Drosophila melanogaster: one gene and its partner. The protein of the gene in region 1 interacts with the protein of each later gene in a pairwise test. Each region holds a gene or a part of one and is shown in the gene's direction. Other genes may lie near its edges. The genes, in order: Bub1 and Kmn1.

Region 1 (12,108 bases):
CTTTGCAGCTCGGAGTTTAGAGCCAACCAATCTCCGCTGTTGCTGGCATCGCTCTGCTCTCCTTCGGTGCACTTGCGCTGTTTCCCCAAGCGAGGGCTCTCCTCTGTTAGATGTGTTTTGCTCGGCGAATCCCCACGCCTTTTGGTAGCCGTGGCCGCCGACTCCTGGTCCTCTTGTTTCTCCTGTTTTTCTTGCTTTTTAGCCTTGGTTTTCGAGCGAATTAGTTCCACATTTAAGCTCTCGATTTCGATGGTCAGTTCGTCAGTCTTGTCACGCAGCTGGGCGTTCTCCATTTGAAGAGCAGCCAGCTTCTCCATTAGCTGGAGCATCTCCTCCTCCTTGTCCTCGCTATGCCTTCTCGGTCGCAATGGACTGTGCTCCGGGGTGCCACCAATGCTGCTCGACGTTTGGGCCAGTTCCTGGTTGAGCTTAATGTTCTGTTCGAGAAGCTCTGTGATTTGGATGTGAGCCTTTTGCTGCTCCGACTCAAGCTCCGTGTTCTCAGTGCGCACCAGTTCAAGTTCCGTTCTCAGACGGATCTCCTCCTGCTCAAGCGATTTAAGCTGTGCCTCCAGCTTTCCCGTCATGCTGGTCCAGTGATCGCGGTCATTAGTCATCCGCAGCGTTATTTCACGCACCATGCTGGCGTGTCTTTGCTCCAGCTGCTGCACCTGCTTCTTGGAGTTATCCTCCAGCGACGCATGCCGCTCATCCACTTCCACGGCAAGCAAAGCCACCCTTTGGTTGGCCGCCTTATTATCGGCCCTCAGCTTGAGGTTCTCCTCATGCTGCTGCCTATAGGCAAGTCTGTAGTTGCCCAACTCGGTGGCCTGCAGAGCAGCCAGAGCGCGCAACATATTCGATTGCTCGTGATCCCCATCGATGCCCCGCAGCTCCTCCTCCAATGCCTTAGTTAGCTGCTGCAGGTTCACCTCCTCCTCCTCATCGAATCCCAGGACGTGAAGTAGGTTGCGAGTGTTGGGAATGCTGGCCAGCTCCCAGGCTTCCATAATGCTATGCACTGAGATCGTCTCCAATTGCTGCGGCGTCACGGTGTCTGTAAATCATGGCAATTAACAATTAGCGTGGGACGAATGAGATTGGCTTCGCTGTTGTATATACACATTTATTATACATATAGCCCAAGATACCAGGTGGGTGTGGGATTGGATTGGGATTGGGAGTGGGGAAGGGTGTGTGTGTGTGTCGATGGTGTAAGCAAAAGCGCCGAAAGTTTGTTATTTCTCTATATCAAATGGCTTTTCGAAATGAGAAATTTTTGGCGTGTTATTTTAAGAGGTAGAAACTAATAAATCAAGAAAATAGAACAAATTATAAGTAAATATCCTTTCTAACTGAAATTGATTTATATGAAATCCTTAATTAAATTGATTGTCAATGCATTACAGCATTACTAAGGGTTGAAAATGTAGGATATGTGATTATACGAGTAAATAGAACGAATCAAATGTGCGGCTACATAGGGTGCGATTAGATACCGAATGACTGGGTTGGGGATTCGGTGGGTGTGAGGGTGTTGACAATTGCTTCAGAGCGCACAAACCTTTGCAGCATGACCAACGGCCGCCGTGGTAGCATCTCCAGTGCTCGGACGACGGTGCGGGATTGGTGGCCAGGCGATGGCCTACGGTGTGTACCGACAAACAAGTGTTTTGCTTTTAACATTGCTTCAAACGTAATTTTGGCATTTTGGGCTAACAACAACAGAGGGTGGCAGGGACAAGGGGGATCGGCTAGCCAAAGCTGGTCTGGCCAGAGGAAACTTACCCAGTGATTCCACGCTGCTGCTGTGCTGCGCCTGGCTCTGGATGGAAAGCTGTTTCAACTTGGCCGCTGCCGTCGGTGATGTAGTGGCTCCCGTGGTGTTGCTGTTCATCTTCCGGCGTGCTGGCAGTGAAGCACAACGCTTCAGTTTGCTCCCGCTGGTGTGGACGGACCGCAGACGCCGGCTGCCAGGAAGATCGCTCTGGGACGAGGAACGTTGCACCTGTGTGGTTTGGAAAAATAAGATGCTTATGATGATCATGATGTATATTTAAGATAATTTGTTTGCTTTGGTAGTGCTACTTAGGCATGCTCTACTGTATCAGCAATAATAACGATTAAACAAAATCTGTTTACTATGCAATTTTGCATACATAACCAGAAGTTGTATCGCCACTTCGTACGTGACTTGACAAACGACACTCACCTGAACTCCCAGCTCATCGCATCCGTTGAGGCTTCGCTGATTTTGCTGCTGCTGCAACTGGTCCTCGTCCGTATTGTCCGAGTCCGTGACGGATAACTCGTAGATTCCCTGCTGTGGCCTAGACCGGCGACCGTATTTCTTGGTGCCCACGACGAGTTTGGGTGAAACCTCGCGATCGGAAGACTCCGGCGGACTCTCGATGTATGTGTTGTTTAGCGGCTCATCCGTAATCACCAGTGAACGCTCTGGAAGATTCAATAGATATAAGTTAGCAGAGAACTGGAAGAGTTGTATGGATCTTAGGTGGCTACCAAAACGAGCGGCTAGCTTCTCAATTATCGGATCTGTTAACTGACCGCCGGATCGGCGGTAATACAATCGTGTTCCCATTTTGATTTAGACTAAACTGCCCAGGTGAATGTGTCGCGTATTTATACAGGACATTGTAACCATCTACCTGATAAGGATCATGCAGGATCAGGTAGTCGAGAACAGTTGGGAGTCGTAAAAAAGTGTCAATTGCATCTATGATTTTATGATCGCCAGCTGCCGCCGTGCTAATCCGCGTGCTGATTATGATATTCGTACCCTAAGGTGTCCTAAATTTGCCCAGAAGTTTCCAAATCAGATAAGCGGAGGTTTGAAGTAAATGTGCATAATCCTTGCAAATTAGCACGTAGATGGTAGCACTTCTTTGAGTATTAAGTAATGGCTTTGTTCATCTATAGACTGCTAGAAATGTGTTCATTAGATCAGTGTTTTATTAATAGGGAAACCCACACGGTTCCAAATCCGTGTCAAAATTGAATTACTATCTCTAATAAGTGGCTGGCAAACATTCCGTAATTATCTGATGTTGCTTGATGGGTAATTAAAGCGCAATTACAGATAAAACGTATGTTGTTTTATGCGAACCTGTCGCGTTAGCTTATAGCAAATATTATCTTTATACTATATAAGTTAATCTATAGCGTGATCGATTCTTTGTGCTATCTCACCAATGAAACCCGATGACGTATTACCATCGAACTCGGAGCCCAGGAAGTTGAGTAGCGCCTCCTTGAACTGGCCAAAGGACACGCCCAGCTGATGGCTGCCGCCCAGGCTGGCGATCAGTGCGGATCCCTGATCCCGGAGCTCCAGCAGTGAGCAGAGCTTCAGCAGGGACTTCTCGTCCAGAAGTCCACACTGCGTCTCGCAGCTGCGGAACATTTGGTAGAGCTTCTGCTCGTACGGATCGGCGGATACCTCCATTATCCGTAACCCGGGGAATTCAGTTTGCTGCCGTTCCAATCGATCGGCTGCTCAATTGCGTTTTCACTTCGCTTTTTTTTTCTTGGGGGGAAAATCCACAAACGCAGTCAGGGGTCGAAAACAAGAAAAGTGAAATATCGGGGTCTATGTGCGTGGGTGGCGGGGGAATCACGCGTGTTTTTTGGACAGCAGGCTGTTTGAGGGGTTACTAATACTACTAATCTATGATATGCACTTCGGAACGCAACATAAACACTCGCGGGTTTGCGGTTTTTTTGGGAATAGCGTAATTTCTAGCGAGTTGATAAAAAACAATAATGCAGTAATAGCGAGCACGGTGGCGCGCTCTGGAGGGCATTAAGCAAACTTGCATCGGAGGTGGCACTATCGTGGACCATTGTTCCTATCGTTATACAACTATCGTTTAGGATTTGAATATTTATATTACAAAATAAATAGATAACAAGGGAGAACGTAATGCCATATAATAAATCGCTAACTTTACTTGGAAAGCTTCAGCTCCAACCAGACCCCTTATTAAAGTAGAAAACTTGACATAAATTGAAATCATCCGATTAACATGTTGTTTTCCAATAATAGATTATAATTATACAAAAAGTATATCAAATAGGAAGTGCTTCATAGCACACACACATATATTGTGCGTCATTCAAACTACAATAATTTAAAACAAAGAACCCTATAGTTTTATTAATAAAATTGAACTTTGGCAACAAATAAATAAATAAAAAGTAAAGTTGTACAAAAAATTGCTTTTGTTTAAAAATTCCCAACAACACGTTTCTATCGCACTATCGATAACCTTGTGCATAGCCATCGTCAACAGTGACAGCCAATGGTTCTATCGATTGTTTGGCAGCACTAATAAATTCCATTTGCAAGCTGAAAAGCAAGAAAAAATACAAAATATCTTTGAGCATTGCAAACTGTTGAAAAATCCAACTGAAAATCATGTGTATGTGCCACCAGTGACAGCCGAAGACGCCGAGGGATTAACTGAGTTAGTGGACCCTAACCAGTCCAATCGGCAAGGGGCACTACATTCCGCAATCCGAGACTTTTTGGTGGTGACCCGTAGAAACCACAGTCTCGCATTCATTTGTTTGCATTACGGCGCAGCGGGATCAGAGGATTCCGCGTCCGGCCGAGATGGCCATGCACTCGTACATGCGCCAGGGATCGGGTTCCGGAGGAGGAGCAGGAGCAGTCGCAGCTGGAGCACCGCCGCTGGCCAGCCCGGACGAGATGCACGGCTTCCTGAACGACAAGCAGGCTTGGGAGCACGCCATATCCCTGTACCAGGGTCCTGATCCACTCGATCATTGGTACAACTACATCTGCTGGTACGAGAATCACGCGCAAAGCGATCCGGAGCTAAAGTACCGCGAAACTCTGGAGCGCTGCCTGACGGTGTATGAGCACAATGACTACTATCGCCAGGATGTCCGTTTGGTGCGGCTGTGGCTGAAGTACATAGCCATGCAAACGGATCCACTCCATTTCTACCAGGTGCTTTTTCAGCGAGGAACTGGTCGCCAGGTGGCCGCCTTCTACATTGGATGGGCTGCCTATTACGAGTCTCGCGAGGAGTATAAGGATGCGGAGGCGGTGTTTAACTTGGCCTTCCAGGAGAAGGCGCAGAGCACTTCCGAGCTGCAGCACGCCCACACCAAGTTCGCCTATGCCAGGTCTCTTTTTTACCAGCGGCAACAGCAGCAACAACAGCAACAACAGCAGCACCAGCAACATCCCCCGCAGGATGCACTGCAGCAACTCACGAACTATGCACAGCAGCAGATGCCACAGAGCTATAATCAACACCGTCCCCAGCCATATCAGCAGAATGTCTATCAGCAATATCATCCGCAGGCGCAGGCACATCAAGCCCCACAGCCTCATCAGCCGGCGCCACAACAGCAACTGCCGCCAGAACAACAGGTCCCCTATCAGACACACTACCAGGAGCGGCCGCGCTATGAACCACATCCTGCAACTCAGTCCCCAACAGCAATACCACCATCCCAAGTCCAGCAACAATCGCATTATGCTCCTGTGGCAGAGGTGAGCATTAAATTTAATATCAAAGCTACTTGATAAATACTCCTTTTTTGTTTTAGTCCCATTATGCACCAGCCCAACAGTCACAGTTGCCGCCGCAACAAACTACAGTACCGCAGTTGCACGCACAGCAGCCGCAGCAGCAACAAAACGGCAACGGCAATCCACCTCCTCAACAAAGTCCTCCGGTGACAAATGAAGTGGCTGGCCTACGCTTGCCGCGCAATTTCCACGCCTACGGGCGCAACAACCATGAGACATGGAAGCCGGCTCTAACGCTTGAAGAGCCTGATGATCCCTCGCGCGTGTGCCACTATGCCAAGCAGTTGGTATATCCACCAGGAGCAGGCGTCGAGTACAGTCCCGAAGAGATACTAGCCCGCAAGTTTAAGCAGTTAATGGATCAAAAAGCCAAGCCATCGGAGCCGCCAGAACAAGAACAGCAAACTCTTTATGATTCCTACGAAACTGAGAAATCTTACTATATGACTGCTGTGGATGGAGCTCTTTACGGGCAGAACACCAGCAGTGGTCAGGAGAATACAGGTGAGGAAGATGAGGACAATGACGCCGAGGAGGGAGAAGAGGAGGAGGATGGTGGTGAAGAGAACGAGGAAGATGACTCTGATGAAGAGGAGGAAGACGATGAAGAGGAAGAGGAGCATAGCGGACCGTACACAAATGGCGTGCAGTTCAGTGCGCAAACCACTTTCGAGCAAGAAAATCGATCGATTAAGATCAAGTTCAGGAAGGAGCCCAGCAGCACCTACAGTGCCTATACCATAGAGAATGTTTACCAGCAACAACAGCAGCAGCAGCAGGAGCAGCATCAAATAATCCATCAGCCTCCGCAGGCAGTACATCATCCTTCGCCGGACCCGGCACCTGCTTCTCCGATTCCCATCCAGCGTCAACGCAACGGAAGCCACCACCACTTCCATCCCTACATGCTGGGCCAGACCTCGACGCCGAAGAGCGAGGCGAATGGCTATCGCAGGGCACGCACCAAAGTTAAGCGCAGCAAGTTCCAGCCGGATCTCTGCAGCAACAGCAACTCGGCATCCTCGGTGGCTGATGTGGCCTCGAGTAGTGTGCTCGCCGGAGCACCTGGCACATTTAATGACAATGCAAACTTTTCGTTCTCCAGTGCCACAGCTTTGGATAACTCAAATAGCTCGCTGGCCTTGGCTGTTGATAGACTTAACTTCCGCGACACATCGCAACAGCAGATCCTCCATCCGGTCAATAAGACCTTACAAATTCACAACAACAACAATAACACCAGCAACAACAATAATGGCACTAGCACCATGGCCGATTTCTCCACATTTCAAGAGAACTCGTACTTCGCCACTCAGCACGACACGGAGGCCCAGGAGCGTCGGCTATCGAAGGCCGTTGAAACGATAGCCCGCCACATGGACAAGGAGGCCATCGATCCGTTCAACAGCGAACTGTGCCGCGCTTTTCTCGCCAAGCTAGATTTTCCGGGTAATCACGATGCCCATGCCAGTTACAAGATTGTCCAAACGCCACTGCCAAAAATATCCAACACTCGCACGCTGAACGTCCTGGAAGGCGTTACCTTTAGCATCGACAAGGAGGTGGGTCGCGGCTCATATGGCTCGGTTTATAAAGCCACTGATTCTCGGACCGGCAATGTAGTGGCGCTCAAGTATCAGAAGCCCCCAAACACCTGGGAGATATACATATGTGATCAGGTAAGAAAAATTATATTTACCACTTATATTAAAGTTTTTTTTTGCCAAAAAGATTTGGGTGTTAATACATATTGCGTGTTTTAGGTGCTGAAACGCATCAAGGAGCCAGAGGTGTTGCCTGGCGTTATGGACATTTCCACGGCGATCATCGCCCCAAACGCTAGTCTAATAGCCACCGAGTTCTCACCGTTCGGTTCGCTGCTGGACATCAACAACAAGATCCGCCAGGCAACCACCAAAGTAATGCACGAATCGCTGGTGATGCACTTCTCCGCACAGATCTGCAATATCGTGGACCACCTGCATCGCCAGCACATCATCCATGCGGACATTAAACCGGACAACTTCCTGCTAATGCGTGTGCCCAATGTGGACAGTCCGTTGCCATCGCTACGTTTGATTGACTTCGGCTGTGCTATCGATATGACCCTGTTCCCGGACGGTGAGAAGACCAAGTTCCGGAAGGTGGTGCAAACGGATGGCTTCACCTGCATCGAGATGCAGGAGGGACGCAGCTGGTCCTACGAAACGGATCTCTTCTGCATCGCGGCGACCGTTCATGTGATGCTCTTCGGTGACTATATGCAGCCGCAAAAGAAGGGCTCCAGCTGGGAAATACGACAAAAGCTGCCGCGTTACCTCAAAAAGCATGTGTGGACCAAGTTCTTCGGGGATCTGCTCAACATGCAGGCGGACAAACTGCCAGCGCTGCATGAGATGCGTCTCATCTTCGAGGAGGAGGCGTACCGCATGGACTCCGAGCTGCAGAAGCAGATACGCACCCTATCCAACATCCTGCATCGACGATAACCAATCTATTCCTATTCCTTTCTGTTAAATTGTTTTGCATATAACTCTGTTGACCAAGTCACCCATTTATATTGTTTCAGTTTTTATTTTAAAACAATTTTCCCTCTTCAAAGATGATAAAACCAAACCGGGAAAAACTCCGCGTTCTAATTTTAAACTATTTTTCTGCGAACAAACTCCCTTTTATTTATTGTTTTGATGCCAAAAAAAAAAACGAAAGCAAAAAGTACGCTACAAAATTCAAAAACATTGTAAATATTAGGCACAGACTCGATCTAAAGCAACGTTTACGAAATGAGTTTGTGGAAAAAAGGCCCTGGATTTAAATGTAATTTTTTTATGTACAGCACAATAAAACAATATATTGAAGGCAATGTAAAAAAAAAAAGAATCGTACATAAATATGTTTAAGATTAGTGCTTGCTGTACTATTGAGTAATATATAAAGATCTTTAAATAATAGTGAATAAATTGACGAAATGTTAAAGCAAAAACCATATGAATTGCAGCGCGAAAAAGGAAAGCAGTGGTAACCCAGTTTCATAAATCAAATGCCAAAGTGGCGAACCCATAATGTGTGTGTTGCAGGCAATTGTCAATTTAGTGGGGGCATGCAACAAGTAATAGCAGCAACAGCAGCGCCAGCATCAACAACAATGCTGCGCTTGACCCACTTTTCCTTTTTGCCAGTCAACCAAACGGCGCACAATTTCCACCAAGCGACTGGAAAAAGTTGCAACTTTTCATGCAACACACACACACATCGACGGTTGGAAAAGCTGCAACAGGCACACAAAGTCAAAGTCGACGCCTGCGCTGCGGCTTTTTGTTGCTAGTTGCTTGAAACTCGAAGCTTGCAGCTTGTTGCTGGCTGCTCGTTCGCCAAGTGAAAGTAAAGTGGGACAAATGCAATTATTATTGCATCTAGTAACCGACTTAGAAGTCGTGGCGCGAAACTGCAACTTGCAGCCTATGCAGTATGCAGTATGCAGTTGGAAAGTTGCTCTGCCGGCGTCGCTTTTACACAATATTTTATTTAATCAAATTGCAAAGAGAAAATTGCAGCAGGCAGTCCGCCGGCGATTGGCGAAAAACTTTCTATTTTTTTGTGTGTCGACTGCAACGTCAGCTGCAGCATTAGATACTTCAGCGGATTGTTTTGCATGCGATAAATTAATGAATGTGCCCCAGTTTCGGGGCCACGGGCATTGAGTGACAAACGGAGTGGCGAAGCGAAGCGAATGACAATGCGGCATTTATTAGATCACTGGGGCACACCGATCTCCATCTGGATGCCATACCAATACCCATACCTATTCCCGATTCCGATCACCCGATATGCCAGCCAAAAACACAAAGCAAGATGACAACAAAAGTCAATAGAAATGGGTAGAAAGAAATTCGTTAATAGATCAGTTAAGTGCTGAGCTGCGGACACTTAACTCGTTTCTAATTAAGCTGATGGCCAACAGTATTTGGCTCTCCACCGAAGGAAAGTCTTAATCCCAGAAAAGTGGGGAGACTTTTCGTTAAGTACCCACCAGCAATTAACTTGGCTAAGATCAAGTTACCAAGCTACGCGTTTTCACCATCTGGACAGGTGCCTAAGCGGATTAGCCAGGATTTAAAACCAAGATGATATGATGATTATGATACGATGATCTCATTATGATACGATTTAAAAAAAAATTAGCTAGATAATTAAATAAATTTACGAACTTAAAATCATAGTTTCATATCTTAAATGTAATAGTACTTATTACAAGAATACTTTCATAATAATATCTATATCTCTTTTTGTTGACTTGAAAAAATCTATGTATATTAAAAGATTCATTTAATGCCATATTCTATTATATTTTTTAAATATCCTTCTTTTATTTTCTTTACCTAAAAATTACCCATTTCTATTAGTAAGTAGCTCATATTTTGTAACTTATGAAGCACGTCTTGTTTCTCCCCCACTGAAGATCACTCAATGATGACCGATGGACTCGACCAAAGGAGCGTTAACAACTTGCGTTTGTGGTAAGGACCGATCTGAGTCACCCTTGGGAATTTAGGGTAGAACAACGACTACCAGTCGGTTGGTTGGTTAGTCATTCCTGTGACTAAGTGCAACTCCTCGCTAGCAAGTCGTGCAAAATGGTGGCATGCAAAGGTTACTAAGGGGACCCTACTAGATTCGCCTAAGTGGCAGTTGCAACAGGCGGAATGCATCAGTGGCCACACACAAAGCCAGCAAAATACATACATGCACTCGTACGAGTATGTGTGTGTGCAGAAAAACCAGCCAAGACCCCCATCCCCGGCAGATAGCGATACTGCTCACCCCTCGAATGCCATGCAGTGTTGGCCATTTGATTGTCATGACCAACTTTTCACTGCCGCACCGTGTTGCTGCTGCTGTTGTTGCAGCCGCTAATATGCAACAACATGCAACAACTGTTCGCCAATTGCACGACAAAGCGAAAACTGGGAAAATAGTTAAGTAATTTGCAGTGGAAAGCAGTGTCGGAGAAATTCGATTCGATTTTCTTGCTTTCTGGCTGCAGTGCGGTGCATGTGCATCATGGCACACATAATGTTGATGCCACGTTGCGAGCTGCAGTCGCCGCGATCCACATCCGTTTGCAGTGCTGTTCGCTGTTGCCGCATTAGAAAGTTGCAACTGCAACAACTGTCATGGGCCGCTTGCTGCAGCTTTTCTTTTTCCCACTCGCCGAATTGGGGCTAACGTGTATGTACTGTACAGTGTGCACTATGCAACAGCACCCACCCCCCGCCGCTGCCATCGCTTGTAATGAGTTTTGACCTCATAAAATCTGTTCGCGAATTTTCCCTACTATTTTCTCTTCTCGCCAAATATTTTGCATCTCGCCGAGGGAAACTTGAGTGGGATGGAGAAACTTTTTTTTTTTGGCGGAAAACTTTAATAAGCATGCGGTGCACCGATTGCTGCTGACAAACGTGAAAAAGGAAAATTCTCGAACGAAAAACGATATCTAGCATCCGGTAATTGACCCACTAAAATATGATCAATCGATTGGCCGCTTAATAACTATCTTTATGGGGCAATACAACTGGTTTGATGAGTCATTAATTGCAGCATATCTCAATCAATCACGATTGAATATGTGATTTTTATTAATATTTCCTTATATGTCTTAAGGATTTAAAAGCCGCCAACTGGTAGTGACCTTCAGCAAATCGATAACTAATTTGATAAGTAATACTTTGCAGTTGTGATAACAGCTCATGTGTGGTAACTTCTTATCTTTATGCCGCTTATAACAACCAAAACCTATGCCAATAATCATGACATCACTGAAGTGAGTCATTCTTTTATTGAAACAAATATTTGTTCACTAAAATGAAGTATATCTAAATATTTTGTTTTCCCCTAATTAAATGCATGCAAGAAATGTGGTAGTAGTATTTGATTATTTATTCATTGTTTATGTGTTTTATAAAATGCGTGAATATGTTTCCTTGCCCGTTTTCTGGATAATCACACCAATGAACTTATTTCATCAGCCGTCATTCAGTTGACCCCAAAAAAAGTCCTTTCGTTCGGTTCACTACCCCCTGTGTATATGCAAACGTCCTGAAAAGCCTACTTCAAATTCTATTTTCATCACTCACATCCCTACTTACGTATGTATCTCCTAGTCATTGTAATTGCGGTTATCTGGGGTCTGGTGTCAAGTGGCCATGTGACTTTGACCGAGAACGCGGTGGGCCGATGTCCTGTGACCTCGTCGGGTGCATTCAACTGAGGCCGCCATGTGGCAACGTCCGCCGGCCGAGTCAATAGCCGAAATATCCCGAAAAAGCGAGAAATCCTGCCACAAACTGAGCCTGTGACTGGGCCGCGAGTTCGTCGCCCAGAAATTCGAAAGCAGAGAGAGTGTCAGTCTTTCGTAATGCCCACCGCCTAATGGTGGATTTCGATGAAGTCGAAGGACCAAGGACCGACGTCGACCGCTGTCATTGCACTGCCCCGCCCACCGGCACCTGCTGCCGCCTGTC
Region 2 (4,808 bases), on another chromosome or scaffold:
ACGCTCGGTGCCCTTGTGTCCTTTAAGATGCATGGTCAGCAGGAATTTCTTGGCAAAGCGCGCCTCGCAGATGGCACACTGGTGGACCAGCTCTTGCTGCTGCGAGTGGAAGCGCAGCATGTGCATCACCTGGCTGTTGCGGTTAAGGAAGTTCTTGCGGCAGCTCTGGCAGCTAAAGTACTGCGGATCCTTGTGGCAGTGCAAATGGTCGACGTACAGTGTCCGCTTCTTGTACCGATTGTTGCAGCACTTCACATAGCCAGTGCAGTCGTGCTCCACGCGAAAGTGGCGCTTGAGATCGTTGAAGTCTTCCAGCGGGGCGGCGCAAATGGCGCAGTCGAGCTTAACATTGGCGGCTATATAGTCGTCCATTTCCTTGATGCTGCTGCGCTTGACGGGCACCTCCGAGGTATCATCATTATCGTCGGCGGTTACCAGTTTCTTGGTCTTGGGTCGGCCACGTTTGCCGCGCGGCTTTGGCTGTTCGTCGGCATCTGGTGTTAGCTCGCCCCCGACATCTTCTTCGTCCTCCTCGTCTTCGTCGCCATCCTGATCATCCTCTGCTCCAGCACTGCTGCGTTTAAGTTCCCTTTGCCGGGCTCTTGATTCCCGTAATGATAACTCTGTGATCTTGGCCTTGTTCTGCTGTTTGCGCTTCTCGTACTTCCTTTTGATGATTTGATGCGTTTGCTGCAGCGCAGTTTTGCGCGGCCTGCCCCTGGGGCGCGGTTTTACCGGATCCGGCTCCGGTTCTTCTTCTTCATCTGGCTGCGATTCCGGCTCGAAGTCCGGTTCAAAGGTGTCGCCATAGTCACTGTCTTTTTCATCGCCCGCGGACAAGGCGTCGATGACGGGTTCGCACAGTATGTGATCCTTGATGTCATCGCCCTCATAGCTGAGCTTTGGCTCGATTGGCGACTCCGTGTTCCACACGACCAGGGCGGGCTCCGGCTCCGTCAGTTCGGGCAGCTCCGGCAATTCAGTTTTCAGCTGCAAGGAGCGGTGCAGCGACCGCTGCTTCTCCGCTACCATGGAACAGAATTGCTCGATCTCGGCCAGCTGCCGCCAGCAGCGGTTGCACAGGCACGTGGACACCACGTCGTTTTCCGCCAACTGAAAGCGAACAATTCAATCATTAGAAAAAAACATCTTTTTGGGGTAGAAAAGTCCAAATCCACTCACCACCAGCAGCAGATGTCGCTCGATCAGCTCGGCCAGCTGGCGATGTGCCGGTTGTCCCATTGGCGGTTCCTGGCCGAAAATGGGCACCCCGTGCTCAGCATCCTCCAGGCAGAGTCGGCATATCATCTCATAAAAGGAAGGACACAAATCCCGAGTCGAATCGCGTTAAATGCAGCTGTTTTTGATTCGTTGCTGAGTTTTGTTATGTGAGCGTTACCGGACCGCGAAAAGAGACCTCCGCGACTGATTGTGCAAACACAAGAAAATAGGCTAGAAAAAATAGCTAAGAAGATAACCAACACATTGGTTCAATATTTTGTGACTAAAATTAATCAATTTAAATGCTTTTTTTGTATAAACTTTATTGCGGTAAGGTTAGTTTATTTCTGAGATGTATGCTTTTTGAAAGCTCTGAACTTTGACAACTTCCGCCTGACATATTGAGGATATCAATTGATGTCACATAAACTGCGACGAAAGATTCATTTCTTGCTGGTTGCTTGATGATGGCTGACGCATTGGCTTCGGCGGCGGTATTGGTCTCTCCTTGGGCTTGGAAATAGGCTCCTTAATAACCAATAAATCAGATTCGGATCCGTGCAGCAGATCCATATTTAAATCGATATTTTCTCCCAAAACCTCGTTGATGGTATCAGATAAGTTACCCATCTGTTTCCGCTTCTCTTCCAACTGCCTTTTGGCTATGGCATCGTTGACCAGATCCTCGATGCTGGGCGTTATTTGGAGGGCAGGACGATGACCGCTGGGCAGGAGATAGCGATCTGCCAAAACCATCAAATGGCTAAGAACGGAGCAAACTTGTTGCCACACCAATTCGCCCCATTCCAAGGTGATACGTCCCAGGACCTGGTCGAAGGATTCGTTACAGCTAAAGGATCGCAGGAACTCCTCGTAGATCACCTCACTGCCGCCGCCCACAGAGGGCAACATCCAGAACAGGAGAAGCACCTTGAACTCACTTAGCAATGGAATAAATGCCAGCAGACCCGCTGTGAAATAATCAAAGGCCACATAAACTCCATAGGCAATCCAGTAGATTAACCATCCGCGAAGATCATTGACGCTACAATTCTGACTTTTCAGGATCTTGTAGGACGCGAATGCTGGATAGAAACAGCCCACCAGAAGGGACAGTATGTGTATCACGATCGCATAAATCATTATTTGGAAATTTTGGATAATCTTAAAATTTTGGATTTTGAGAAAGTATATATATAGCTGTGTATTCGGTTCTCGATTTTGTTCATTTGGTTTGACTACTTGAACAAATACAATAAATTGAAATGTGATTCTAAACGCAAGGCCTGCTTAGCATTCATAAAATGACTTATGCCCTATAACCCTTTTCCCCTTTTTTAGTTCAGCTTTTTTTCAATGAGTATATATCTTTTTATTAATATTAAAAGTGCAATTTTTTATATCGTATATTTTAATTTGTATAAAAGGTTTTGGCTTGAAAAGAGCCAGAGCGAATTACGTTCAAAAGATGTGGCATCACTGGATCAGCGATGGGTGTTGGCAAGCGTTTACGGATTTAAAAACTGAAAACAAACGAAGCGACGCGATGGAGCCAGCCGAAAGTCCAGAAAAATTAATGAAATTCGTACGCCGCAGTGACGTACTGGAATACGTGGGCAACACGAGTGCCGTCGATCTATCGAGCGGTGATCTCTCCGACATCGATCTCAAGGACGTGCCGGCCCAACTGGAGGCCACTTTGAAACCGCGTCGCTATGAAGCAAGCACTTTGTTTAACATTGACCTGGACGATAGTAAGTGCAATCCTTGTGGTTAATTAAATTGCCATTTACTTAACGTACAGACTTTCAGTCTGGGATCCTAGCTGTCAGGAGGACGAGGTGCAGCAGTACAAGGAGCGCGCCCAGAAGGAGCAGCAAAAGTTCTTCGACTTTGTAATGCATGCGGCACTGGACACGGACAATCGCAAGGTTAGCTTCAAGCCAAACAAGGAGCAGCAGCGTTACCTAGATCAGGGACCCAATTTGCAAAACTTCGTGCGAAGCTCGTTGGCTTTCACAAACGCGGCCATCCGATTTCAGGCGGAGCACGAGGACATGATGGAGCTGCAGTGCAATATGGACGATCACTACCTATTCATGCGGAACACCATGATCAACAACGCTATACACCAGAATATGGCCAACCAACGGTGACCCTAAGCTATGCATAAATATACATATGTGAATTGTAGATATTGATAAATTAAATTAAGACTCAGAGATTGTAAGACGGTTTGCTTTTGGCTTATACAGTATAATTCGCTTAGCTGCCTCGAGTACTTTGCACAATGCCTCGATGCAGGTAACTTAAAAATGCAGCTAACTTAATTTTTTTTTTTCTATTTTCTATTTTCTATTCACACAAAAAAATGGAAAAATAATGCAGATATCTTGCCGATGCAGCTAACTATCGATGCAGCTAAGCGAATTATACTGTATTTATTTCTACCCTAATATGTAACTCCCTAAGTTGCACTTCTGATGATGGCTGCCTTTAAGTCTGACCGAAAGAAATGAAAACCGATCAAACGTCTTGAAAACATTGTCTGTATGTAAACTGAAGTTAACAAAGGTTTCGTTTTATGTTCTGGTCTACTCAGGCGTTAGGTCTACTTTAAATTGTGTGTATATTTGTGAGCTGCTTATTCCTTGTTCCAGGCTGCCAGGTATTTCATGAGGTCCGTGAGACTCTCGAAATCGGTGCGGCTGGCTGGTGGTTCGTCCTTGGTGATTCTTGGCAGTGCATTGCCCATCTTGAGGCGGAACTCCTGGAACTGCGAACGAAACGAAAGATTTAAAGCGAAATTCATTGAACAAATCGGAGGCATGCTCACATCCTTGGCTCCGGATAGCTTCCAGAAGCCGTAGCAGAAGGCGCCGGTGCCCATCACGGCGTACAGTGTGCCCCAGCCCAGCGCCCGCAGGGCCAGGGTGGCGCCCTCGTCCATCAGGATCATGCCTTGCCGCGTTCCAGCCTGCTGGAGGACCTTGCTATCCGTCTTCTTGGCGGTGGCCAGCGTGCGCGAGAAGCCGAACAGAGCGGACACCCCGCCCACCAAACCCAGAAAGGCGGCGGCTAGAAAGGAGGATGAAATGGAGTTGTACTTCAGTCAGTTGCTGGCTGATATATATGCGTGTGTCTGTATGTGTTTGGAGAACCACCTACCCTGGATGCGGAACTTGCGCTCCTTCTCGGCGGCCACTGCATCCGCGCTGGTGCCGGCCTCGCTCATCCTTCTCAATTGCGATTTATTGTTGTCGTAACTACTAATGCCCGAATTGGATCGCACAACACAGCTGATTGCTTGACCGCTCTTGACAACCAACACTGGTGCCGCAGCTGCCACTGCCACTGACGCGTTCGCAGAGGTGCTAAGATGGCGGGAGGGAAGCTAGAAGTGAAGTGCTAAAAGATAGTTCAAAATATTCAACAGGTACTGGCCTTTCTCACTGACTATGAGAGTCAATTTGATTTTAATGTGCTGCATTTAATTTATTTGTTAAATTACTAACTAATACTAATAGATATATTTATATAAAAGATATAGCTAAAAAACGTCAGTCTGGCAACCCTGCTACAACGAC

Evidence for each region.
Region 2: the proteins of Bub1 (region 1) and Kmn1 interact in a two-hybrid assay, tested with the Drosophila melanogaster proteins (one study listed by BioGRID).

What each region holds. Positions count from the first base shown.
Region 1 is NT_033779.5:5,274,724-5,286,831, forward strand, and holds Bub1 (Bub1 kinase), read left to right. Parts: upstream 1-4,329; 5' UTR 4,330-4,636; coding exon 4,637-5,548; intron 5,549-5,604; coding exon 5,605-7,266; intron 7,267-7,350; coding exon 7,351-8,076; 3' UTR 8,077-8,560; downstream 8,561-12,108. Other genes in the region: Nin (ninein), read right to left, coding at 1-1,057, 1,565-1,645, 1,789-2,008, 2,213-2,457, 3,211-3,466.
Region 2 is NC_004354.4:11,570,358-11,575,165, reverse strand, and holds Kmn1 (kinetochore Mis12-Ndc80 network component 1), read left to right. Parts: upstream 1-2,723; 5' UTR 2,724-2,767; coding exon 2,768-2,975; intron 2,976-3,033; coding exon 3,034-3,377; 3' UTR 3,378-3,783; downstream 3,784-4,808. Other genes in the region: CG11696 (uncharacterized protein), read right to left, coding at 1-1,113, 1,183-1,308; Reepl1 (receptor accessory protein like 1), read right to left, coding at 1,642-2,364; CG11699 (uncharacterized protein), read right to left, coding at 3,866-3,997, 4,058-4,299, 4,390-4,456.